3 linked regions of the Arabidopsis thaliana genome follow. Each later gene encodes a partner of the first gene's protein in a complex. Each region holds a gene or a part of one and is shown on either strand. Other genes may lie near its edges.

Region 1 (7,853 bases):
TGTCCTCAAGACACCTATCTTTTCTTAATAATATGTCAATTTTAAAAAGTGTGAATTTTTTAATTTGTTTATTAGAATGAATCTTTTCTTTTTATCGGTTATGTATGGAAAGATATTAATAAAATGACTACCATTTAGGTTTTCTTTTATAAACAAAGTTTTTTTGCTAATTAGAAATATATCGTATAGACAATGAAGATGGATCTAATATTTTGACTCAAAAGCATATATTTCTCTGAAATTTTTTCTTAAAAAGTGGTCTAATTTTGGGCTCACCAAGAGGGTTCACATAGCTAGTTGACAAAGTTTAAAAATAGGGTTTATACCTTAATATGGTATAGTCCCGTGAAGCAAAGATAGGATCGAATCTTAGACGTTCAAGGAAATTAACCACCATAGTGGTTAACTACATACTAGTCCAAAGGTCTTTTTATTTTTAAAAATTGGTTCAACTATGGTATAGTTTTCTTGTGTTTAATTATTTTTTTCGTTCACTAACTAACCAATATGGAAGTATATATGCAACGCAATCATAAGATTTGGTCCAACAACTTGAAAAACTATAGTAATCTGAAAAGGTGACGTGAAAAAACTAAAATAACTGATTTTACATACTCATATTTTCAAAGCACAATTATAGTTTTGAAAGTCTGCACTAAATCTATAGTAACTGCGTAATAGATGATCATACAAAGATCAGGATATAACTAATATCGTATAACTGAAGACAATTTTTTCTTTTAATGCAACAAAATATTGTGGGGCTTTTTCAAATGATTTGCTACCATTTGAAGAAAATAAGATCCACAAATCTAAAACAGACAAGAAAATGGGAAGTTCACGGATAAAGCTATCCGATCATTAGAAAACATAAATTCCAAATCATATGAATTTTTATTATTCACAGTTTTCAAATACATGCCTCTAAACATCTTTTCTTTTATGCTAGTTAACAAAAGACTTTGCTTTGTTTATCAATAATAATCAATAAAGTTGTCATTTATTGTTATATTAACCATAGCTAATTAGTGACTAATAATATATTCATAATCCATACAAGACGCAACAAAAACTTATATTGCTGTCAAATCAAATGATTAGCCTTGCTCTTTTCTATTTAGATTTTGAAAGCTATACATATTGAGATATTTGAGTTGTGGCCTTCACGTTTTCAAGATATATGTGTGTATAAATAATTTTTATGTATATGCAATCGTCATTGTCTTAAATTGTAATAACATACAATGTGACTGTGTGAGACAGGCTGTGTTTTTTTTTTATATAGGTTGAAAATTTGTGCTTAGTCACTTTCAAGACACCTCGTGCCTTTGGGTTAGTTCAATATCCTCGTCGAAAATGAATTTAGTTTTTAAATATTTATTTACCTAAATTTTACTAAATGAGTATTCTTTAAAAATTTGCAAACCTAAATTATGGTAGACTAGTGATTTTGTTTTGTTAGTCCAGAGTATATTTAAATGTTCGCCAAGAGCACTAATGAAATCTTATTAGATTAATTTCATATAAAGATGGAGAAGAGAGTTGTACCATCAGCAATTCTAAAGTTACTTCTCTTCTTCTCATTACACAAATTTATCTCTGAATCTATCTTGAAAGAAACCTTAAACACATGGGCTAATGGACTATTTTTATGATAATGATTGGGCTGCTCTAATAATAAGAAGCATACATACCAAATTTACTAGTGGTTAATTAAAATTAGAGTCGTAAATCCATTAAACATAGCAATATGTCGAAACCCGAACATGCGCCAGTCCAACTCAAACGAAGATCAATCTGACCCGAAATTGTCAAATGAGAGACCTAAAGAAATATGTAAGAAACGTGGATTAGCAAGACTTAGACCCATACACAACGTACAAATAAAACTCAAGGCCCAAGTCGAGAAGCCCCCAAAAACTTATTAGAAAAAGTGAAACACTCATATGGATTAAGCTCATTTTTTCTGTGTGGGCTAGAAATGGATCGAATGAGCTAACTAAGTCGAGATTGTCCAACTAAATTCAAAGACGAAAGAAAATTTCCATCAACCATTTGATTCGACAAAAGACAAATCATAGGTTACTTCACTTTCTCGAGTGAAATCTGAAACTTTTTCAATTTTGCGTGTGAGTGTGACATTTTTTTTTTTTTACCATAAACAAGTATAATCTGTTTTAACTGCTGAAGATTGTAAATTCATTTGATGAAAAAAAAATTAATTGCACAATAAACGCAAACAAACAATCAAAGTCATACTGATGTATCAGAGAGGCATGCTTTGCAATTTTCAAGTTGAAATGATCTCACAAAATGTGTGTACACAAATGAAAAGCCTATCAAGAAGAGACTTGGTTCCCACCTGCGCAAGCCTATGTCATGTCGAATGGCTAAACCTAATCCGAAACTCCATCTCTATCACAAATTTATACTTGAACCTAAATTTTACTTAGACTCATTCTAAAACAGAGAGCAAAACGAGAAGAGGACACAGTCAACGACAAAACATAAGGTCCCATAATGCTTAAACAGAAACACTATCCTCAATCACAAAGTCCCTTTTTCTGAATAGATGCAGTAAGCAAGGGGCGCAAGGCTGAAGACACATAGAAACTCTAAAAGTGTCAATGTACCAAATAACAACAATCCTAGACTGATCTCAAGAAACAGTACCTGAATTTCCAAATATGGTTCCTATATTCAATCGACTAAAGATCCCATATTCTTGGTTATATAAGTTACTCATTCAGATAAATAACTTAACAATGGACTAATGTAACAGTAAGGAGTTTTAAACCATCTGAAATAGTAGTACTACACCGATTCAAAAGTATTTCAAATCGAAACACAAAACATCCAGAAACATCATTACTCAATTCCCATAACTGTTTTTCCAAAACTAAAGCCATTACCTTGTGAAACAGAGATCCTCAAGTGTGATGTAATCAACGCCAACTCGATGGCCAATACGGATGAATTCCATATCCAGTCTTCCAGTTATCCAAGTAAACAACTTTCTTCACAGCCCAGAACGATATGAACAAAGCCAAAAGCATAATCAACCTTTGTGCAGTAATATTCTTCACTCGAACAAGCACATTGGTAACAAACGCCAAAAGCAATCCAACAACAGTATACAAGAATCCAACAGCAAATCCTTCAGCTCCAAGCTGCATTCCAGATCCTTGGTAGAAAAACACAAGCTTATTCGGATCGTTACGATCTTGAAGAAACATCGGCATTTTCCTGATAATGTTGTGCATTGTACCAGCAACACTAAAGAAGTAAATGAAGATAGCACCAGATAACCAAAGTCTAGTATCATGAAGAATAGTTTCTCCTTTCAAAACTCTTTTGATGATAAACGGAGTAGCGATAACGATCAACGCAACGATAATACCGATCTGTGGTTTCGAAAGTAGCGGTGGACGTTGAATAGGACCGACCTTGAGTTTAGTTCGTTGCTCAACAAACTCAGCCATTGATTCAGCTAATCTAGAGTAATCCGATTGATCCATTTGACCAGATTCATCACGTAGATTCGATATCGAAGGACTTACAAGACGAATGTGAGGTAAAGCGTTAACGCCAAAGAGCTGGAACGAAGATTGAGACTTCGAAAACTCGATCTCACAGAAGAAAAGCTTAGTTCCTTCAGATCCATTGTTGTTAGCGAGGAATGAAGCGGAGACGATGCCGAATTCGCGACGGAGCTCTTGAAGACGAAGCTCGTTTTTGCTGTGGAGTTGAGTAGCGTCGAAGAAGACGAGTAACGAGTAAGGACGAGGCGTGGAAGCGGAGGTTAGGAATTTTGAGATTCCATGGTCATCGAGATGGATTACGCCTGATTCGCTTGTTGATCTGAGAGATACAAGTTCGTTGAGAAGATCTGAATCGGAATCCGAATCGGAAAACGAAGCTGCGAATGTGGATGATAGTGTTGCTATGAGGAAGAGAAGAGAGACGAGTTTTGATTTGAGCGCCATTGTTGTTGATCTCTCGTTCTCTCAGATTCGAGAAGACGAAGAAAGTGAAGGAAAAGGGTATTTGCCGTTTACCGGAAAGCCTCTATCTGGAGAAGAAGGTCTCGAAGTTCTTGGTATCTCGCTGGTTGTACCACGTGGAACGTTTTTATTGGTTGATGTACCACGTGGATTATTACGATTCGTGGCATAAAATACCTGTGAGGCTATGAGTTTTGACGAGACATATCCGACTTTCCAAATCCAGAAAAGGAAAAAAAATATATTTAAACATAGATAAAAATTTCAACACCGATAAGTTTTCGTCGTAACTCTAACCCATTCGAATTGATTTAGGCGTTAGGGTTTCTTCATATTTCTCTCTCGGAAGAAGAAGATGGTTTGCGATAAGTGTAAGTCCATCAATAATCTTCTCTTTGAATTCCATATTCTAATTGAATCAATCTATACTTGGATCGGTTTTAATTCTAATTGAATCTATACTATTGGCGTTAGGATTTGTGATTCGTTTCGTTTCTAGCTTAATCGATTACATGTTTCAGGAAGAAATTTAATGATCTCTGATTCGATTTTGGTTTCTTAGATCGAAACCCTAGTTGTAGGATCTCTAATTTAGTTCAAAGTATGAACCTTTTGACTCAATTTGTTTTTATCTTTTAATTTTAGGTGAGAAGAAGTTATCGAAAGTGATAGTTCCTGATAAGTGGAAGGATGGTGCTCGTAATGTAACTGAAGGTGGTGGTCGTAAAATCAATGAGAATAAGCTTCTCTCCAAGAAGAATAGGTATGCATTTCTTATGTTTATCCATCTTCATTTTACTACTTTTCATTATTTGAATTGCAATATGGAAATAGTGATTAATTTGTAGCTTTGGGGATGTTTGTATCGTCTAGTTTGGTATTGGTTTTGTTTCCTGTAGTTTCTTCTAAGAAATATTGGTATTGTAGTTTCGTGTAGTGTCTTTTTTGAGTTGATCCCTCCAGGTTCTTCTAAAAATCATTAGTAATTATAGAATTTCTCATGGAAATAGCGATAAATTTTTTAAGTTTGGGATGTTTGTATTATCTGTTGAGTTGATTAGGCTACTGGACTCTTGCCATCTAGGGTGTAGAACTCCACCGCTTCGCTAGTCCTCTAGGTTTTAATAAGAATCATTAGTAAATGTACAACTTCTCATGGAACTAGCGATATTTGTAACTGTGAATGTTTGTGTTGTCTTTTTTGAGTTGAGTTATTAGTTTTGTTTACTCTTGTTCTGCTTCTAATTTTCTATTGTGATATTTCTTTGCCTTGTAGATGGTCACCTTACAGTACCTGTACCACAAAATGTATGATCTGCAAGCAGCAAGTGCATCAAGATGGTAAATACTGTCACACATGTGCCTATAGCAAAGGTAAATAGTTAATACATCTGTTTTACTCTACTAAATTCTTACCTCTGGTTGGATAGTGATATTATAGAGTAACTTAACAACTGATGGAATTGCCTCTTCGTGGTTGTGCAGGAGTGTGCGCAATGTGCGGGAAGCAAGTGTTGGACACCAAGATGTACAAGCAAAGCAATGTATAAACAAATCCGCAAGCGTTTCACATTTTAGTTTTTGTCCCTTTGATGTCAACGTTGTATCCTCTCACTCATGTATTTTTTTGTATCGGTTTCCTCCGGTTTTAATATAACCAAACAGAATCTTGTTGCTTCACTGTGTTTCTTGACTGATCATAAAGTTAATGTTTCGTTTTAGAACTCGAATTCAAGTATCAAAGATAGATTTGAACATTCCACGGAGCAAATTGGTTTTAAACAAAACTGAGTCAAAACTGGACCATGTCCATTGACAGACATGATTTCATCTTGTATATGACAAATTGAGATTTGGTTCCTGGTACCGTACAATTATACTAGTGTCTCTTCTTGTAACTGGTTCGTTCTTATAACATTAAAGTAGAGTGATAATGGTAAAAATGGTGTCTCTGAAACTCGAATTGTATTTTGTATCGTTGCATGGTAAGCGACAAGTGACCTATCTTCTCCGCTTCGATTCTTTACGCATTTCTGCAAAGTAATTCTCAAGATTCTGCTTCTCCCACAGCCTTTTCTGCACCAGATCTTCCTTCCTATATTCATCTGAAAAATATCGAATTTGCACAATAGATTTAATCACATTGTATTAGACATCAATCTTTATCAATATGTCGGTTCAGGTTGGAAATTAGAGAATAGAAGGATACCTAGATTAGCCCATGCGTCGGCAGGCACACTAAGTGATCTTCGGGTTAGGTATGATGCGTCTTCCCATGAATAAGGAGCTTTCTTGACCTTATATCTCCACACCCAACTGCTGTACCATACTAGAAGCTGGAAGATAACAGAATGTTGAATCAGCTATCTCGGGAAAGTAGGATATGGAGGAATCTGTGAAATGTGGCACAGTGAAAGTATTTTAAGAAAATGAAACCTTAATGATAGTGTATGGTAGGAGAATGAATCGAACACCGAGAAGTTCCCAGACCGATGGTTTTTCAGCTCCTTTGATTTGTAAGTCAAGTTCGTTGCTTAGCTCTTCCTGTAGTTTCCTGCCAAAACAATAAATGATTATGATTTATTCAGCGATACGACACATTCTCAGCTAATAAAAAGGCAATTTAAATAACTGGGGGTACATACTGGTCAATCTGCTTTGAACCCTTCTTCTTGTTACTTACTCCACCTGTGCGTTCGAGTTCTAATGCCTTGAGCTTATTTTTGTAAGCAGGTGTTCGCTTAACCGTCGCTATAGCCTGCATCACAACAATAATGCAAGATCTCATTAAGAAAATGAGCCGAGGTTTGTATAATTTCTAATTATAGGCTTTAAGAGTTTAAGCTACATAAAGTTCTCATAACAAAGTATATGAATCACATTCAAGAGGTCAAATTCTACGTTTCTTGAGATGCTATGATACATGTGATTAGGTATTGCACATACATGTGATTAGGTATTGCACATACATGTGATATATAGATGAGTAGTACTGATGCTTAAATATATAACAATATAGGTCTGGCATGCATCAGAAAAACGATACAGAACAACTACTTGAGACTATTAACACATAGTGAGAGAATCCCGATCTCTAATACGTACCTCATTATACCTTGCCACGTTGTTCAGATATTGAAATGCAGATAAAACCACCAATAGACCAACAAGAACAGCACGGGGATCCTAGAACACACATTAGGCAGTCGTAACATCAGTTAAAAAAGCCAATGGTTTTCCGAAAGAAAAGTCATCAGAAACATTCAATAACATCGTACCGATTTATGTCCATATTTCGCGCGGTAATATTGAGCGGTGTTGTAAAATACCTATATACAAAGAAACACAAAGCGGTACAGAATTTTTTTCAAAGATCTTTCACCTATGCAATGTACACAAAGTCACAAACCAAGAATAACAGTTGAGAATTCTCAGAATAATGGTCTACTAACCTCTTCTGGATGTTCAATTGCATAATCATATTGTGCCCGAGTAGTATTATCTTTCAAAATCTGCAACAAGACGAATCCTTTTGAGAAACTTTCATGTTCAATTATTCTCAGCTATAACAAAAAAACCATACACTATCAAATCTATCTCCCAATGTAATGATTCTCGATTCGCTAAAACTGGATCATACCTAAGAAATTATACGCAGAGATATATAATGGGATTGACTAAGCCAGATTCCAAAGTTTCAGAATCATAAAAATATTGAAGTACCTCATAAGCAGTGGCGATTTTAACAAACAGTTTCCTCGATTCAGGATCCGGATTCTTATCTGGATGACTAAATCGAATCATCAAAATTGAGAAACAAAGATTAGCAAAACACTAATCAAAATCAAA
Region 2 (5,022 bases), on another chromosome or scaffold:
TCCTTTCTTTTCAGGTTTGCTACTCTTGGCTAAGTCTTTAAGCAGGGAATGTGGAGATGCTGTTGTTACAAGTAAACCATTTTGCTGTTCCGAAGTAAGTGATTCTCCAGTAGCACTTGCACTTGTCACTTTATCAACATTATCTGCACCGGTATGCTTAATACCACTTCCAACCGCTGGAGATATCACATCATTATCGATAGCTTCGCTCTTATCTTTTTCTACATCACTGCTCTTAGCCTTAATGAAACCTTCACTACCATTATCTCCATCATTACAAAGATTCTGGACTTCACTTTCATCGAGTTTCCATTCACTGTCTTCATTATTGATAACCTCACATCCATCTCTTTCTACATCACCGCGCTTAGCCGTATTCAAAAATTCACTACCATGATCTCCATCATTAGCAGTCTTCCGGACTTTACTCGATTCAAGTATCCTTTTTATTTGCAGATGAAGAGACCTTCTCCTTGCAGTTTTTATATCTCTTGCTCCAGAACCACCTTTATCATTAATCTCTGCAATATCAGTCTCAGTCACATTGCTTTTCTCTCTGCTCTCAGCTGGATTATCCTTAAGATTCCTGTTAGAGTACTTACAAGGTGATAAAATGGGAGGACAAGCTGCTAAGAAATCATAAAACAAGGACATATCAATAAAACATAGATGCATCAGAAAAAAACACACACACACAAACACATTGCTTCAAGACCTAACCTTTCTCGATAGTCGAAGGGACGGTATTAACATCAGTGCCAAAAGAGTCTCCTTCAAAGCAACTGTTACAAACTCGTTCCCAACAAGGAGGAAACCCGAAGATGAATTCACGAGAAATCTATTCCCAAGACCAGACCACAGAACAAAAGAGAAAGAACAAATCAAAGTCAGTTCTTCTTCCTTAGTTCTTAGATAGATCAAGTTCCAACAAGTTAAGCAATCTTTAGATTACCTCAGGGTTAAATCCATTTTTAAGAACGCGTTCTTTGTTAAGAAAACCTCTGAGAGTGATATAGATTCCATCAGATGCTAAGAGTGTGAAAACATCCAAAGCTTTGGTGATTGGTGAAGATGTAAACACACGCATTGCTCTTGTCCTATTAAGGCAAAATTCGAAGAATTCAAAAACTAAATCGTTTCATAAAAAAAAAAGAAACCTGAAAAGTCCAAAGCACTCTTACTCGACGGACTCTTCGAATCCAGCAACACCAAATTGTTTCCCTTCGAATTCCTTTGGGCATTTTATCAACCACCAATCTCTCAGCACCACCTTTATTCGAAAAACCCAGATGAACAAAAAGGCGGATTTAGAACACTGATTGAATCAAATACGAGGAGATGAAGTAAGAAGCTCACTCACCGTTTTCTGGAAAGACGACTTGGAACCATCTTCGTCGAGATTTGGTTCCGTCATCGAGCTGGATACTATCTTAATTGAGAAATAATCGGAACCCTAGGAGATTCTCGAGAGGAGAGATTCGTGAGATTTAGTGAGCAAAATTGGGGAAAAGTTTAGGGTTTAAACTGTTTGGAACAATGGGAATGAAAATTGCTTTGGCGGGGAAAACTTGATCCGGTTTAGATAACCAGTTTGGTTTAAAGCTTGTGTATTTTGGTTCTCGTTTCCTGGTTTTCTACATTCTCCGGTTTAAATAACAGGTTTGGTTTAATCCTTGTGCGGTTTCTTCGGTTATAAATTTGTAAACAGAAATTATTTTTGTTTTATTAATGAGAATTGCCCTAAAACAATTTGCAAACAAACCATACAAGTAAAGTCTTTAGTATTAAAATTTGCATGACTTGAAATTCAGTTGACTAATAATACTTCTTAAGGTCCTAATGACTATAAATGACTATGTAGTAAACAATCATATAGTTTTAGTAGATGTCTGGAGGCAAATTCCCTGAGAAAGAAGTCTGTTGTTGTTGTGACCTTTGAAGATGGAGTTTCATGGCGTAGTTGCTAAGCTGATGAATGATATCCACAAACGAAAACGAAGGGAAAATCAGTAATCCGCTGATTTATAAGATTGATAATTCCGAGAATTTCTAGTAGGCAAGTTAGTTATACCTCTAGCTTATGAACTTGTTCTTGGTACTGCCCCACCACGCCTCTCAAATGCAGTACTTGTTTGGCCTTCTCTTCGTTTTCAGAGCTACGCTGATGTTGATTCGCAATGACCCGCTTCAATATTTGGTTATCATTGATCAAACTCTGTAGACTCTCCTTCATCGACGCATATTCAAGCTGCAATGAATTGGGAGCTCTCTATTTGTTATATTATCTAGGCCCAAGAAAACCTGAGCATTATCAATGTCATCAATTTATACCTTCTTCGAGGCGTTGGTGTTCTTCTTTATGATACTCTCTAAAGCTTCTAAGATCACTGCAACACGTCGCCTCATGTCATCAATGTTTATCGCTTTTGTCATCTCGGATACAAGTCTATCAACCCATTTAGCTCCATCGATCATATCCTCATCGTTCCAACTTTCCACAGATCCATCAAAAAAGCCAGCTTCTGTTCTATCAGAATCCCCATTGAACAAAATTGAGCTTAAACTCTCTTTTGCCTCTTCAAACACGTAATTCTTGTTGCTCATAACCTCTCTGACAAACTAATTCAAGATCCCACCAAAAAACAAAGACTACATTAGCAATAAACTCCCAAAGACTTTTGTAGCAAAACATAACAGCCAAGATCACCAATTTTCATAACACAAGTCACAAAGTAACAAAGACTAATGTTGCATCAAGTTTCTATGCAATCAATGGCTACACAAAACTGTCGCCAATTTTCAGTTTTTCACAACACAGAAGTAACAAAGGCTAATGTTGCATCAAAGTTTCTCTGCAATGCAGGGCTTTGGCTTTGGTTATCACAATGTTAATCTGTAGATGAAGACATATCAATCAATAGCTACACAAAACTGTTACCTAGTTCATTTCATGAAGGAACTACATCAATATAACTTAGCACTTTTTAAATGGAAGATTGATGAACTTAAAGTATATGAAAAGAGCAATTACTGTAGTAGCATTGTTCATCAGTCAAAAATGGAAACTTTACGACACAATATCTAACGAACCTCAGGATCCATGGTAGGGAACACATGGATCAAAGATGCAACCGGGTCATCGGATCCAGACCCGGTTTCAGATGAACGAATCGGCGATCCAAAGCTTGACCATTTGGTTCTCTTATTCGTCGGGGATGATGAAGAAGAAAGGAAGCGACAACGTCGAGCAATTGCAGTGAAGAAGAAAGGAAGAGACAACGACGAGCAATTAAACATATTGTAATATAATTATTAATATTATAGACTGTACAACAAAGTGGCTGTAGTTTAGTGGTAAGAATTCCACGTTGTGGCCGTGGAGACCTGGGCTCGAATCCCAGCAGCCACACTTTCTTTTTTCCTTTTTTGAGAAGTAAAACGACGTCGTTTACCATATTACCAAACGATTTGTTTTTGAGTCAACCACCTCTTTAACCAGAGTCATTCTTCAGTTCTTCTTCTTTTTCGATCTGCTTCGTAGAGTCGATAGAGGGAAGAATCAAAGAAGGAAGTCTGTATCTTTTGAGCTCTCCAAAGGTAAAAACACTCAGAGATTTGATTTGTTTTTTTCGGTCTTTACCTTGGATACGTCATTCTCAGATGGTAGCGAATTTGTAGATCTTAAGGCTTGAATCTATTTCATATGATCAATTACTTATAGATGTGATGATGATGCAACTCTTTCTTTATTTACTGCTATGAGATTCAATCAATTTTTTATTTTTATTTTTGTGTATTCCATGTTTTTGATGTTATACTCATGTCTGGATTTCGTCAAAGTTATTTTCTTTTAGTGATTTTGGTAAAGAAACTTGTTCCTGACGTATGAACCTAATTGTGTTGGACTATGTGCTCCATCTTCATAGAAAATGATGTTGAAAGTGTAGATTGGTGGGTGATTTTTAACAAGTTTTGTCTAAGTCTGATACCAAGCTTCTCATATTGTTAATTGTGTGTGGTGTTACAGATGTTTGACGACCAAGACCTCGGCTTCTTTGCCAATTTTCTGGGGATTTTCATCTTCATAATGGTCATTGCATACCATTTCGTGGTGGCAGAGCCTAAATTCGAATGAGAATGAGGTTTCATCTTTGTTAGTTTCTACAAAAAAAAAACTTATAAATGTGTTGGAATCAATATGTCTTTAGCATTCTATAGGTCGTGATGTTTCGCCAGTAGATGAGTAATCAATGTATTTTGACAATGTGGTTTTGGATGGATTAAGAGTTAAAAGACTTCATTTTTCGTAGTGTTTCAATCATTCAAGTTTTAGTATGCAAGTTTTCTGTTTAGAGCATATTGCATACATGGGCGAATATGGTATACCTGGATTTCCCAGTTCTTCAGGTCTTCTCTGTAGCTCTGTTACTTCTATCACAGTTATCGGGTATTTGAGAAAAAAGAGTTAGCTAAAATGAATTTCTCCATATAATCATGGTTTACTACAGGTTTACTTGATTCGCGTTAGCTTTATCTGCATCCAAAGTTTTTTCCATGATGTTATGTCATATGTGATACCGTTACTATGTTTATAACTTTATACAGTCTGGTTCACTGGAGTTTCTGTGATTATGTTGAGTACATACTCATTCATCCTTTGGTAACTCTCAAGTTTAGGTTGTTTGAATTGCCTCTGTTGTGATACTTATTGTCTATTGCATCAATCTTCTAATGCACCACCCTAGACTATTTGAACAAAGAGCTGTTTCATTCTTAAACCTCTGTGTCTCCTTGCTAAATGGTCATGCTTTAATGTCTTCACCTGTCTTTCTCTTCTATAGATATGTAGTCTTGCTAGATAGTTAGTTCTACAGCTCTCTTTTGTAGTCTTGTTAGAGAGTTAGTTGAGATATTACCTCTTAAAAGTATCCTTGAACGCTTTCCGGTTATGACCAATTTGTTGTAGCTCCTTGTAAGTAGAACTTACTGGGACCAGCGAGACAGTTTATGTGAATGTTCATG
Region 3 (5,399 bases), on another chromosome or scaffold:
GTTGTGTTTATGATTGTGTGAGGAAGAGAAGGCAGAGAGGTGTTTGTTTATATATGAATGAAGAGTGGGTCGGCAAAGAGCTTTCGAGAACGTTCACGAGTAAAGATCTCAGCCGTTGGATCTTATTTTTGCGCCATCTAATTACTATTGTTTCCTTTTTATTTTGTTATCGCTTCTAGCTCCTTCGAGATGGGTCTTTTTTAAATTGTCAAATAGTAACTCCCGTTTTGAAAACAAGTTATTTCATCACCCAATTAACATTTTTGTTTTTTTTGCACATTTTAAAGATAAAAAGGAAATTACTTTTTCTTTAGTCCTCAATTAATTACTAGTATTTCAATCGCGTTAATGAAATATATTATGAATTTATTATTGATTGGATATATATATGGGGAAAAAAATAGTTTGACCCAAATAAATGGTTTATTTACCAAATTAACTCATAAGATATAAGAGATAATCTAGTTATTTTTATGACCAAAATAACCAAAAAATTTACCCAATTTGACTCAAAACTTTGTAAAAATAACTAGAATGACTCAAAACTGAACTAGAATGACTCCTCGCTTTGGTGTTTGAGATTTTTTTTTGCTTAAAGAAAAAAATTCAAAGTTTCATCAAACATTCGAACAACATAATTGGAGGGAACATATATATGCACATGCATATAAAATTGAGAAGATGTGAAATGGATTAGGAACATCTTGAAAACATTATCATCTCAACAAAGACTGTTATTATCTCTTCTCAGTTTGAAACACAGATAATACTAGTATAAACTAAAAAGCCTTACATCATTCTAAAATATCATCACTCAAGTGGCTTCGTATTTGGGATCAGCAGTTACGTAGTGATAAGCAATTACCAATGCGAAGATGAAGATGCCAAGAAAGTTGGCAATAAACCCCAAGTCCTGATCATCGATCATCTGCACCAACCAACACAAACAATACTTGAGCAACAATTCTTTTTGTAGTAACAGACTAACAGTAATGGAATCAGTGTTGCCTTATTGTATCTAATCAGTTCAGCAAAATGTTCGAATAAGGATCCCATTAGAGTCTCTATCATCTTTGGCGCAGCCAGATTTCTACTAAACTTTTCAATTTCACCAAATACAAAGTCCACAGAAGAGACTACAAGGGTAACATTGCAAAGTTGACTCCAAAGTAGAGAAACCATAATGGCAAACAACAAGGAGCAGCTCCCTAAACTCAACTAGAGCCAGAGGCAGAGCCAGACCTAAATTCGCTTGATCACTGCTAAAAGAACGGATTGATAGTAATAATTAATAACCAACAAAAAAAAAGACCAAAAAAATGGGATGATCCCAGTGGGAATCGAACCCACGACCTTTAGATTCGGAGTCTAACGCGATATCCACTCCGCTATGGGATCACATTGGAGAACAAGTTGAGAATTTATGTAAAAACCTAAAACGTGACACAATCCGACAAGAGAATTTGGCAGTTCTCGTCGACAGAGACGGATTCAAAGGACCATCACACACAGATGGCCGCCACAGAGACAATCTCTATCGCGAGAAGAACAGCTAAGAGTCTAAGACTAACCAGATCATAAATCAAACACACTTGTCGTCGAATCAGAAGATCACTCAAGAAGAAATGCATATATATACATAGTTTTAAAATTGAGCGAGATTTACCGTTTTATCGGGACGGAATCGGTGGGAAAGGATGAGATCTCCAGACTCCAGGGACCAGAAGCGATTTGCAGAACAGAACAAGTATTGGATCTCACTCTCAGGGTTTCGATGTCTGAGGGTCTTTATTTTGCAGGCCTGGCCCAATAGTAGTATTTAATTACTTTTTAACAATTGATTTATCTGTGGATCAAATTGGTAATTGTATGTTTCTCTCTTGATTTTTTGTTTGTCAAATTGATTTTAACAACTGTAAACTTCAACTCCTTGTGGCTTCTCAGATCAGATAGTGGCAGCCAAAATAATGACAAGAATTTATATTACAAACGCACCGGTTAGGTTCAGTCACACTAATCACATAACCATTTTAAAAGCAAAACATTCGACACCCAAAAGGCCCAAAGCCTCTATCTCTAGTTCTCTACACAACACAATCCTCCTAATTGGTTTTGTTCCTGACTGTACAAAAGCAGAGCTCCAAGAAAAATAAAATTTCTAGAGCTGCAGCCTAGGTTCATGATTTGTTTTACACACACAGCTAAGAGAAAAAAAAGCTTCAGTTTGTTAGCCCAAAAAATGACATGCCGGCAATTATCAGAAACCAACCCACTGTTTCTGTAAGTTCCTTAAAGCCGCACCATTCCCGCAGAAAAAGGAGAAGGCGGGACCGAGTTATTTCACATTTCTGTTGATCCCTTCGGCAACTCTTTACTATCAACACCTTTCTTCAGAACCTTCAGATCTCAACCAAAATTCAGGAAGGATTTAATATCACAAGAGTGCAAGATAGCCAAAGTGATGTCACACACGTAGCCATATCTGAATTTTGACTTGCCGACTCCCCTGCTTGCTACTTTCAGCTACGAGTCCAGTATTCTATGAATTGTCATTTTCTTTCACTAAATTCTCTTCCATCTCTTTTCACGGCAGGAAGCGGATAATTAGGGTGGTGCTAAAGTAACTCTCTAAGATTCTCTGAAACTGATGAACTTACATAAGCCATATATAAGAAACTGGAGGCTTATGAGAGCCGCGAGTTCAGAGCTCGTTTGATAGCTGAAGTATACCACACATCTGCAGATATGGATTCTCTAGCAGTTTCTCATTATTGCTCTGCACAAAACAAGAATACAATCAATGTGGATCATTATTATACATGAAACAAAACAAAGAAAGCTCTTTGATTTTGAGGTTCTCTTTGATATTTCCGGTTCTACGCATCTACACCCTGAATTATGACGATAGCAATACCTGCTGAGCCTTAAAGACAAGCTTCTGAAGCATGTTTTGGTATTTCTCTGGTTCCTCCGTCATCATCCTCTGAAATAATCCAAATTTTAACCGGTGAGCCAAAAAATATTTGGAAACTTATTATTCTTTCAATGATGTCTTTCCAAAATCAAAATGGTGAATTTGAAAAATCCTCTTGCCTTCAGAAGAAATGCTGAAGAGTAATAAGCCACCCTTGAATCAGTATCATCCAGGAGTTCCCTGCATAGATAAACATAGGTTAATGCCATGAAACATGTTGCACAGATAAATCATAAATCATCTATGGTTTGGAAGCATGGAAAAGTCAATCAATTACCTAAAGAACTCCTCTCCGCCAACTTCTTGAAAAGCAACTGTATCGGCGGTGCATTTACCAATCAGAAGTAATAGCAGGGTGGCTCGAATATCAGAGGTTGCCCCTGGAATATTTCCTCTACCTTTGCTTCCAACGGCGACACCAAGTGCAATGTTGTCAGTTGCTGCACCTGCTAGTTGAATCAGTGGCCAATAAAACAAAGCTGCTGGCACACGCGCAACCAGCTGCATAGGAACAATGGCCTGTCCACGAAGAAGCATCGCTGCCATTGACGCTGTCTCACACGTTGAAACAGAGACGTTATTGTACCGAGGCTTGGTGTCACCTTCATCCACACTTTCTTTATAGCTGTTACGATGAGAAGTATCAAATTTGCTATTCCTATCCGCAGAATTGGGGACTGCATCCTCGTCAGTAGACAAAACTTTCAAGCACAATTGCGAGAAAAGAATGTCACACATCTGCTTGGAAACAACAGAGAAAGACACAAGTGAAATTTAACTTCATCTGGGTGAAAATTCCAATAAGAGGTATAGACAGAGTTATCTTCTACGCCAATTATTCGACATATAGAACAGCAGTTACTATATATATCAGCAAGCTTTAGAGTGGCTTTTGGTAGGATATTTGACAAACAGAAAGGTTCTAAGGAATGTACCTTTAAGATGTTAATCCGGTCAGTTTCATTTATTTGTGCCATCAAAGACAAAGCACTGCTCATTATGTCTATAACAGCATTTGCTTTCTCTAGTCGTTTGTCTTTATGGTCCTGAGTAGCAACTCCACCAGTTGATCGTTGGGTCTCATTCTCGTCTAGTAAGAACTTGGAGCGCATAAGTAGCCTCTCCAGAATAAATAGGAAACCCCATCTGATAACACTGTTCCTTGACTTCAAGAGTCCACATAGGAGATGTATGGAAATAGGTACATCAGAAGTAACCAGAGAGTCTGAGGTACCACAATGGGCAATCTTTTGTTGCAGATCTTTTATGCTCAGCCATATACTTCCACCGCTCTCTTCACTAATTTCTGCAATCAGAAGATCCCCCAACCAGATATACCCATTTTGACGGTATGTGGTCCTTTCTGAATGAAGAAGAGAGTGCAAAGTAGCCCAAGCTAGATTCACGGACATGCTTATATCGTTTCTTAAATCTAAAATGCTTTCCATGAACTTGGAAGATTTGGTAATCTGTTTGAGATGCAGGAACTCTTTGTCCAGGTGAGTAAACGAACCTATTATTGTGTCAAACTTTTCTGTTATATTTGCCAAAAGCTGCAAGAAGGAAAAATTAAAGAGTTGGAAAAGAGCTTTGACTGACAAGCAATTTAAGTTTTTTTTTCCAGATATCCTCAGAAGATCATTTGCAACATATTCTACAAGTTTAAACCTACCTGGTTAAGTCGTTCGCTGTTGCTGAACCCAGACAATGCTGCAGCAATTGATCTTCGCAGGATTTCTCCTATGCCTTCAACACCAAGCTTAACAGAAATGTAGAAAGCTTCAGGTGCATCAGCAAGAGCAAGCCGAACAGCCAAAGGTTGAATCTCATCATCAGTGTACTCAGAAAGACCAGCAGATGAGCATGCCTCATTAATTTGATGCAGCACATAGTCAAATAAAACCGAGTAGAGATTTCTTCTTTCCTCTCTAGTGGTTGCCAAAGAGTACTGTACCAATAAAATGAATCCCTTAATATGCTAGAAAACCATTGGGGATCGAAGTGTCTATTTGGATAATGTTTAGAAAGATCATTCAGTCTAATAAACTATATTTTCTTAGTACCTCAAAGAAAATGTATTCTACACCACCAATCAGATCGACCTGGTCGATAAGAAAATTTGAGGCACTTGAAATTGCTTTGTTAGAGCCTTCTGGTTCTGGAGATTGATAAAACATATTCGTCATGATACAAATAAGCTTGGAATGAACAACTTCTGACCAAGAATTCCTTTTGCTAGTTCCCAGAAGAGCTTTTATAACCTGATTCAAGGAAAGTAACTGGCTCATCAGCAAGTACAACTTGGCTGAGAAATGGTAACATGCAGCTGGAAACAGAAATCATAGTTACGAAGGTCTAAAAACAAAGAGAAAGGACAGATCCAAATGAAAATAGGAGGAGAATTAAAGAAGGAATAATCCACATA

Evidence for each region. Proteins that work in one complex are often made in the same cells at the same time.
Region 2: AT1G61790 (region 1) and AT5G02502 share a complex: the UniProt entries of both Arabidopsis thaliana proteins name them as parts of the oligosaccharyltransferase (OST) complex.
Region 3: AT1G61790 (region 1) and AT3G12587 share a complex: the UniProt entries of both Arabidopsis thaliana proteins name them as parts of the oligosaccharyltransferase (OST) complex.

Annotation. Positions count from the first base shown.
Region 1 is NC_003070.9:22,810,523-22,818,375, reverse strand, and holds AT1G61790 (Oligosaccharyltransferase complex/magnesium transporter family protein), read right to left. Parts: upstream 4,010-7,853; 5' UTR 3,987-4,009; coding exon 2,946-3,986; 3' UTR 2,913-2,945; exon of another isoform or gene 2,219-2,912; intron 1,825-2,218; 3' UTR 1,688-1,824; downstream 1-1,687. Other genes in the region: AT1G61780 (postsynaptic protein-like protein), read left to right, coding at 4,360-4,375, 4,650-4,767, 5,281-5,378, 5,490-5,554; AT1G61770 (Chaperone DnaJ-domain superfamily protein), read right to left, coding at 6,006-6,109, 6,214-6,340, 6,441-6,558, 6,650-6,762, 7,110-7,190, 7,283-7,333, 7,457-7,516, 7,728-7,794. UniProt on the Arabidopsis thaliana protein: Subunit of the oligosaccharyl transferase (OST) complex that catalyzes the initial transfer of a defined glycan (Glc(3)Man(9)GlcNAc(2) in eukaryotes) from the lipid carrier dolichol-pyrophosphate to an asparagine residue within an Asn-X-Ser/Thr consensus motif in nascent polypeptide chains, the first step in protein N-glycosylation.
Region 2 is NC_003076.8:557,717-562,738, reverse strand, and holds AT5G02502 (Oligosaccaryltransferase), read left to right. Parts: upstream 1-3,503; 5' UTR 3,504-3,597; intron 3,598-4,027; coding exon 4,028-4,135; 3' UTR 4,136-4,454; downstream 4,455-5,022. Other genes in the region: AT5G02520 (dentin sialophosphoprotein-like protein), read right to left, coding at 1-629, 721-838, 953-1,097, 1,182-1,270, 1,361-1,414; AT5G02510 (UDP-glucose 6-dehydrogenase), read right to left, coding at 1,879-1,968, 2,072-2,248, 2,332-2,619, 3,091-3,297. UniProt on the Arabidopsis thaliana protein: Subunit of the oligosaccharyl transferase (OST) complex that catalyzes the initial transfer of a defined glycan (Glc(3)Man(9)GlcNAc(2) in eukaryotes) from the lipid carrier dolichol-pyrophosphate to an asparagine residue within an Asn-X-Ser/Thr consensus motif in nascent polypeptide chains, the first step in protein N-glycosylation.
Region 3 is NC_003074.8:3,993,772-3,999,170, forward strand, and holds AT3G12587 (Oligosaccaryltransferase), read right to left. Parts: upstream 1,901-5,399; 5' UTR 1,667-1,900; intron 1,399-1,666; exon of another isoform or gene 1,326-1,398; intron 929-1,325; coding exon 815-928; 3' UTR 569-814; downstream 1-568. Other genes in the region: AT3G12590 (uncharacterized protein), read right to left, coding at 2,702-2,776, 2,915-2,983, 3,094-3,154, 3,252-3,712, 3,910-4,527, 4,647-4,922, 5,038-5,235. UniProt on the Arabidopsis thaliana protein: Subunit of the oligosaccharyl transferase (OST) complex that catalyzes the initial transfer of a defined glycan (Glc(3)Man(9)GlcNAc(2) in eukaryotes) from the lipid carrier dolichol-pyrophosphate to an asparagine residue within an Asn-X-Ser/Thr consensus motif in nascent polypeptide chains, the first step in protein N-glycosylation.